Danio rerio: one gene and its partner. The protein of the gene in region 1 purifies or fractionates together with the protein of each later gene. This does not show direct contact. Links are inferred from orthologs where the notes say so. Each region holds a gene or a part of one and is shown on either strand. Other genes may lie near its edges.

The links. Proteins that work in one complex are often made in the same cells at the same time.
Region 2: the proteins of polr3k (region 1) and pdrg1 purify together in Homo sapiens (affinity purification with mass spectrometry; 3 studies listed by BioGRID and IntAct, with this or other methods). This does not show direct contact. The link is inferred for Danio rerio from reciprocal best matches to the Homo sapiens genes POLR3K and PDRG1.

Annotation. Positions count from the first base shown.
Region 1 is NC_133178.1:45,547,173-45,550,931, forward strand, and holds the start of polr3k (DNA-directed RNA polymerase III subunit RPC10), read left to right. Parts: upstream 1-1,119; 5' UTR 1,120-1,244; coding exon 1,245-1,355; intron 1,356-3,116; coding exon 3,117-3,204; intron 3,205-3,759. Other genes in the region: snrnp25 (U11/U12 small nuclear ribonucleoprotein 25 kDa protein), read right to left, coding at 509-700. UniProt on the Homo sapiens protein: Core component of RNA polymerase III (Pol III) which synthesizes small non-coding RNAs using the four ribonucleoside triphosphates as substrates. Can mediate Pol I proofreading of the nascent RNA transcript.
Region 2 is NC_133186.1:392,369-396,127, reverse strand, and holds the start of pdrg1 (p53 and DNA damage-regulated protein 1), read right to left. Parts: upstream 2,471-3,759; 5' UTR 2,436-2,470; coding exon 2,352-2,435; intron 2,267-2,351; coding exon 2,194-2,266; intron 879-2,193; coding exon 804-878; intron 710-803; coding exon 629-709; intron 1-628. UniProt on the Homo sapiens protein: May play a role in chaperone-mediated protein folding.

The sequences.
Region 1 (3,759 bases):
ACTTTACTCAACAGTTTCTTCTCCTCAGTGTATTGCATGTGTTCACGAGTGGTGTGCACTTATGTACTGACTATGACTTCCTTAGTTTGAAACAATTCACAGACACATTTGAGGTAATAAGCAAGTCAGAGGTGCAACCAAACGCGGCACATAAATGTGAGCATTATACTGACACAGAGGAGAAGAAACTGTTGAAAAAAAATCTGTAGAATATAGAAGATTTTAAGCTGGAACTATTACCCTCTAGTATTTACAACTACATTATCAGCTATTCACAACCTGGACAAACAGCTCTGAGGAAGATTTTAAATATATTAAACTCAAAGTGATGGCGCTTCTTGACCACCATTATATAGATAACGTACATAGGAAAACATAGTTCTCAACTTAAAAAAAAAACGTATTTTCTGTTCTACTTAAGAACAGAATCTTGGGATGTCAATTAACCGAACATTTTAATATCTGGGTGAATTGTCCGTTTAAAACAGCCCCTTGACTGCATGTACACCTGAATGGGCAGGTCACACAGAAGCGGGTCCTGCACTATGAGAGCCAGCCCTTCTTCAAAGATGTCCAGAATTTCTGAGTGTGGAAGAGCCTCCTCGTCTTCTTCCTCTTCGTGCTCCTCTTTTATTTCATCTTCCACAGTTTTCTCCTCTAACTCTTTTTTGAGCTCGGTTTCGTCCTTTATTTCGTCCATTTTATCTTCAAACGTCTTGTTTTGAGGGTATAGAAATCCAAGACTTATAAAAAAGTCACTAAGCGTTAATAGTTAACATAACTACAATTTCGTAAAAAAACTGTACGCCTTTTGCAGAAGCTTATTGTATTAAAAATTGTAACTTTAACAATTTGAGCCGTTCCAGCATTTCTTTTTACATTTCATTTTTATAAACACGCTGTCGGAATATTTCAGTGATGCACCCGACTTTAGTTCCGCATAGGTTTTTTATGATTCACATTCTTTATTACAATAACAATCTTCTATTAAAATATTTTTTAATCAGCATTAATATATTCGTTGACATTTTCATATATATTTAAGTTTAATATATACAACAGAAACAGTGTTCATCCTTGTCTATATTTCGTTTTATGGCGAGCCAATAATACAGAGGCACATTGATTGTCATGTGCTTCCTGTAGCGACTTAGAAAGGACTGTGTGTAAATACCAACTTCAGTTGCATCAGAAAGAAACTATAACTGTATTTACTACGTAACATAATCTATGACTGTTTGAAAATGCTCCTGTTTTGTCCGACATGTGGGAATGTGTTAATCGTGGAAGAAGGACAGCGATGCTTTAGATTCGCGTGTAACACATGTCCATATGTGCACAACATCACGAGGAAGGTAATGCATAACACCGGTTATGGAAATTTGTATCTAATAAGCGTTTGGAACGTTTGATTCGAACGCATTAAAGTTCGACGGAACGCCGACATTTAAAAGTTCGATTCGAATGAAACGAAAGAAATGACTTGATTCGATAATATGAGAACGTGTGAGGAACATCTGATGAGATCAATGTTTCTAACATTACAAATTATATAACAAAAATAGATTTGAGTGAGGGAGTGTTTATGTTCTATCAAACATTGCTTTCAGAGCATGATAAATAACGCTGGGTTACTGAGTAGTTACTTAAATGAAATGGTTAAATGATTATAAGATTGTATTGTACTTTAAAATGCTCTTTATTTCATCACGTTATTATATTTATGTATAAAATTTACAGTTTTAGAATAAATTCTCATTAAAAGATATTTTGAATAATGCTGGCACCCATTTTCTACCATAGTAGGAAATAAGAGTTGATTGAAGTCAATGGATCCCAGCAACATTCTTCAAAATATCTTCTTTTGTTTAACAGAAGATATAAACTTACTCAATGTACTTAATAAACCAAGAACTTCGTTTATATTATCTTGAAAACGTAGGAATTAAAAATATTTTAGAAATTTTTTAGAAATATTGTTATAGCTTCAGGTGGATAAACATCTGGATACTTAAAAGTTTATATTTGATGTCACTTCATAGATACTTATGTATGTGTGTCTTATCATCAAATGTTCATTCATAAATTGCACATACTTCTGAATTAAATCAGCCACAGTGCCACACGCAGGTTAACATTTTACCACCACTCTTTACTTCTCTTGTGTCTATGAACTCCGTAACATTACAAAACTTCCCATCATGCCACCTGTTTCCCGTCTTAAAGACACAGATGCAATTATAGCACATGACAATACTAACTTCAGAATCATAACACAAAACCTGGATAAATAAATCACCTCTATAAACTACTGACATTGTTTTTAAAAGATAGCTCTTAAAAACTCATTTTTGCATCCCCCAAAATGCTGTTGTGCAAACAAATGGCCAAAACACATACAAGTTTTCAATGCTTAGTTGGTCTGTAAATGTAATTGGCTGTTAAGTGAAAAAGTCAATTTCAAACTCTGATTAGAATTCAAAATGACGCTGTTTTAGACACTGGTAACAACTGTATTTATACAGTGACATATTAAAGAAGAGCCACTTGTCATAGTATTTTTGCTATTTATGTCATTGATAGTTTTTTTCAACATTCCGCATATATATTCTTTAAAGTCTGTGTGAAATCCAAATTTACAGTGTTTATTTTACAAGCACACAATGCTATTCTTTAGGTAAATGATAAATCCATGCAAGCTAATTCACCGAAAAAAAAAATCTTTGTTCTGATAATCTTCAAAGTCTGACCATTTGCTCTGGCGTTTGGAGTGGCAGTCCTTCTCTGATGATGTCAGTTTGGCAGATGCATCCACAATATTCCTAACCACGCCCCTCTTACCTTTAGTTGATGAGGGAATGATGTGCAAAAAGAAAGCCCCGCCCCCTACTCAATATGCAGTTTCAGTTTGAGGTCCTTCAACATACTAAAATAAGTCTCAGCAACTTGCAGTAAAATTAAAAACACTTATAAATCACCTTGAACCATCCTTGTTTTTATTAGTATCTAACAATTGAAGCTTGTTTCTATGAGGGTTAGGTTTATGGTCAGGCATAGACAGTATCATTGACCTGATAAAAAAATAGGAAAACAAACCTGTTTATGTGCTTTAACAGGTAAACAACAGAAAGTACCCCAAACTGAAGGAGGTTGATGATGTTCTTGGAGGATCTGCTGCTTGGGAAAATGTGGATTCCACTGCAGGTAAACAAATGAAACTTGAAAAGTAAAGTTTGCTCACAAACTTATGGTGGATTGACTGAGACTAGTCTGAAAGTTTGAAGTAGTTTTAAAGTTTAATTAATTGAAATAGTTTTTAAGAATTTTGAAACAGTCGGCATAGATTGATAACTACATATAGGTCAGCATGTATCTAGTATGGATTGGTATGTTTTAGTATAGATTGGTATATGGTTAGTATGTTTCTAGTGTGGATTAGATTATTATAGTATGTTTCTAGTCTGGATTGGTATATTATTAGTATGTTTGTTAGTATGTTTCTAGTATGGATTTGTGTGTCCTTAGTATGTTTCTAGTGTGGTTTATGTCTCTAGTATAGATTGGTATATTGTTAGTATGTTTTAGTGTGGGTTAGTATATTTTTAGTATGTTTTAGTATGGATTGGTGTGTCCGTTAGTATGTTTCTAGTATAGATTGGTATATTGTTTGTATGTTTCTAGTATGGATTAGTATATTTTTATTATGTTTTATGGTATGAATTGGTGTGGCCTTGGTTTGTTTTTTAATGTGGTTTATTA
Region 2 (3,759 bases), on another chromosome or scaffold:
TGTAACAAAATAGTTTTGTAGTTTTGTTTACATGTATGCAAGTATCATAAATATATAATAAATATAAATATAATACACACACGGGCGAAGCAGTGGCGCAGTAGGTAGTGCTGTCGCCTCACAGCAAGAAGGTCGCTGGGCCGAACCTCGGCTCAGCTGGCGTTTCTGTGTGGAGTTTGCATGTTCTCCCTGCGTTCGCGTGGGTTTCCTCTGGGCGCTCCGGTTTCCCCCACAGTCCAAACACATGCGGTACAGGTGAATTGGGTAGGCTAAATTCTCCGCAGTGTATGATTGTGTGTGTGAATGTGTGTGGATGTTTCCCAGAGATGGAAGGGCATCCGCTGCGTAAAAACTTGCTGGGTAAGTTGTCGGTTCATTCCACTGTGGCGACCATGGAATAATAAAGAGACTAAGCCGACAAGAAAATGAATGAATGAATATTACACACAAACATCACAAATAAACTTTTATTTTGGATGTGGTTAATCTTTGTCCAGCACTAATATAAATGCTTTTTAAGTACATAAAAATACTAAGACGCAGACTAAATAACACGTCTTGTCTTCGGCACAGATGTTTACACCATTTATAAGTATGACTGAGCAAGAGACTGATGAAGCAGCTCTACCTTGTAGCTCATTGAGACGGTTCACTTTCGCTTTCAGTCGTGTGCGGAGGTCTGTTATTTCCTTATCAAGCTGCTCTTGGTCTGTCAGGAACAGTAGAACAGCTCATTTATTAAACACAGTGGCACATGTGAAGGGTTATTCACACAAAAGCACAGCTGAAAAAGACACACTCACCTTTCAGGATCATTGATCTGGTGCTTTCTTGAGGGAATTTGATGAACATATTTCCAAAACACACCTTTACATTATCTAGATTAGATCGGATTCAATTTTATTGTCATGTGCAGAGACAAACTTCAAATGAGAACCAGCATTAGGCAAACAAAATAAGATTACAGAGCAAATGGCATCATCTATTAGTTTTGCTCTTTGTAGAAGAAATCTGTGTTTATTTTGTTCTGAACATCTTCTTATGTAAAATACAATATGTGTTTATTGAGGTAAAGTTTGTTTTATACACACACATTCATTCATTTCAACAGTGTCAGCTTGTGACTCCCTCTCTATAATGTTTATTATGCTACTTTGAATATTTGGTCAGAAATGGCATGTAAATATGACTTCAAAACAACATCCGCTCTATTGAGCTGACTGTGAACAATACTGGACTGTGATAGTCATTGGCTGCTAATATGATTTCACTATTTATAATTAACAGTTTTCTGAATTTATATTAGGGCGACATGATGGCTCAGTGGTTAGCACTGTGGCCTGACAGCAAGAAGGTCTCTGGTTTGAGTCCCAGCTGGGTCAGTTGGTGTTTCTATGTGGAGTTTGCATGTTCTCCCTGTGTTGACTTGGGTTTCCTCCCTGGTGCTCCGGTTTCCCCCACAGTCCAGACACATGCGCTATAGGGGAACTGATCAACTACACTGGCCATAGTGTATGAGTGTGTGAATGAGTATGTATGGGTGTTTCCCAGTGATGGATTGCAGCTAGAAGGGTATCCGCTGTGTAAAGCATGTGCTGGAATAGTTGGAAAACTTAGTTCATTCCACTGTGGCGACCCCTAATGACTAAAGGGACTGAGCCCAAATGTGCCAAAAAAAAAAAAACTTTGTAAATATAAAAAAGTTGTGTGTTTTCAGTGGTTGGAGTCATGATAACTTACTTTTCTTTGTTTGAATATCCCTAATATTACATATATAATACAATCATATTAAATATTAGTAAATTATTAGATTTTGGATACCCATAGGATGATTTTTTAAACCCATATTCACAAAAAAAGGTGCAAAAATTCAAGCCATAAAAACTAAAATGACAACATAGTGAACTGAACTGATAAATCATGAGTAAAACAAGTTAATTAAACATTCTAGGGTAAATTACAAAAAATAAACCTGTAGTAAACATACCGGGGTGTTACATTAGGTGTGGTTATAAGCTTAATAACCCTATTACTGACACATTATAAATGAAATATTTATTACTTTGGAAGATACGTGTACTTATATATGTGCTTTATACGTAGTACAAGTTTTATACGCATGACACTGCATCCAACACCAAGCATATGTGCCATTAATGCATTATAAACCAGTATTCTGTAGTCTGTACTCGCCGTTTGGTGAGTTGTTTCTTAACGCGCTGAGAGCTTCTCGGTTTCTGTTTCTCCGCACATCCAGATCCACAATCTGTCACATGTCAACCACTTCAATAAACACCACATATAAAACAGAAATTACCCGATAATTGACTGCTCCTATAACTCAATCGCACCTGTTGTTTGTCGGTGAGTATGTCTTCTGCAGCAACCTCTACCTCAGTCAGATGCTCCAGTACCCGCTGCGCGCTTTCGTCCATGCTGAACTGTGCGTGTGTTATGCGCTAGACGAAATAAGTCCGACTGAGAGTGGAAACAAGTTGTGCTGTATTTTCGTTCCGGCTCACAGCGACCATCAGCTCCGACTTCAGATGTGAGATCCACAACGAGGAAAACAAACCTGATATTCGTAAAGTAAAGTAAAAAACTCTTCAGGAAAAAAAATGACTCAAAAACGCAGCAATAAGAAAACTGCTAAAACGTAACAGGAAATGCTAACTAAATAAATGTTCAACTATGGTTCAGTTTTATAAATAATTATTAATAATTATTGTCAAAACTGTCTGTATAGATGGACGTTTGCTGCTGACAAAATAAATTAAATTAAAATTAATTAAAATTAAAAAATAACATTAATAAACCGGTGAGGCGGTGGCGCAGTAGGTAGCACTGTCGCCTTACAGCAAGAAGGTCTCTGGTTCGAGCCTCGGCTGGGTCAGTTGGTGTTTCTGTGTGGAGTTTGCACGTTCTCCCCGGGTTGGTGTGGGTTCCCTCTGGGTGCTCCGGTTTCCCCCACAGTCCAAACACATGCGCTTATAGGGGAATTGGGTAGGCTAAATTGTCCGTAGTGTATGTGTGGGAATGAGTGTGTATGGGTGTTTCCCAGAGATGGGTTGCAGCTGGAAGGGCATCTTCTGTGAAAAACATATGCTGGATAAGTTGGCAGTTCATTCCGCTGTGGTGACCCCTGATTAATAAAGGGACTAAGCTGAAAAAGAAAATGAATGAATGAATGTTAATGAACCTATTAATAATCTGCATGTGTTGTGCTCAGCAGTAACTGGCAGCAGATAGTGTTTGTAAGAAAATAATCTTTTGTTTAAAATATCTGGACATACTCTGGATGTGGCTCTTGCATGTTCGAGTAACTCCTCCCATGTCAAGAGGATTGCAAAGAGCTTAAAACTGTATTTATGATCATCACAATCACCGTATGAGTCAGGCAGAGAATGAGGAAAATAACAAGTTACACACAATGTGAGATGATGGCTGCTTCTCAGTGGGATGGAGGAGCCGGGGCTAATCATGAGCAGACTCAACACTTCAAATCTTCATTTCTGAATAAATACATCACAGTATATTTATCTTCATTCACAATACAAATATAAATAAATGCATAATATTATTGTTATCGCAATATTAGTATTTGCAATATACATTCTTTTTCATTGATTGTTTATCTAAATTAGATCAATCAGATGGGGCCATAATATCTTTAGTCGCGCCTCCCCAGTAGTGGCTGTTCTGTTATTGGCTGGAGTGTCCTGAACCCAGAGCTGAAAATAAACACTTATGGGTGGAGTC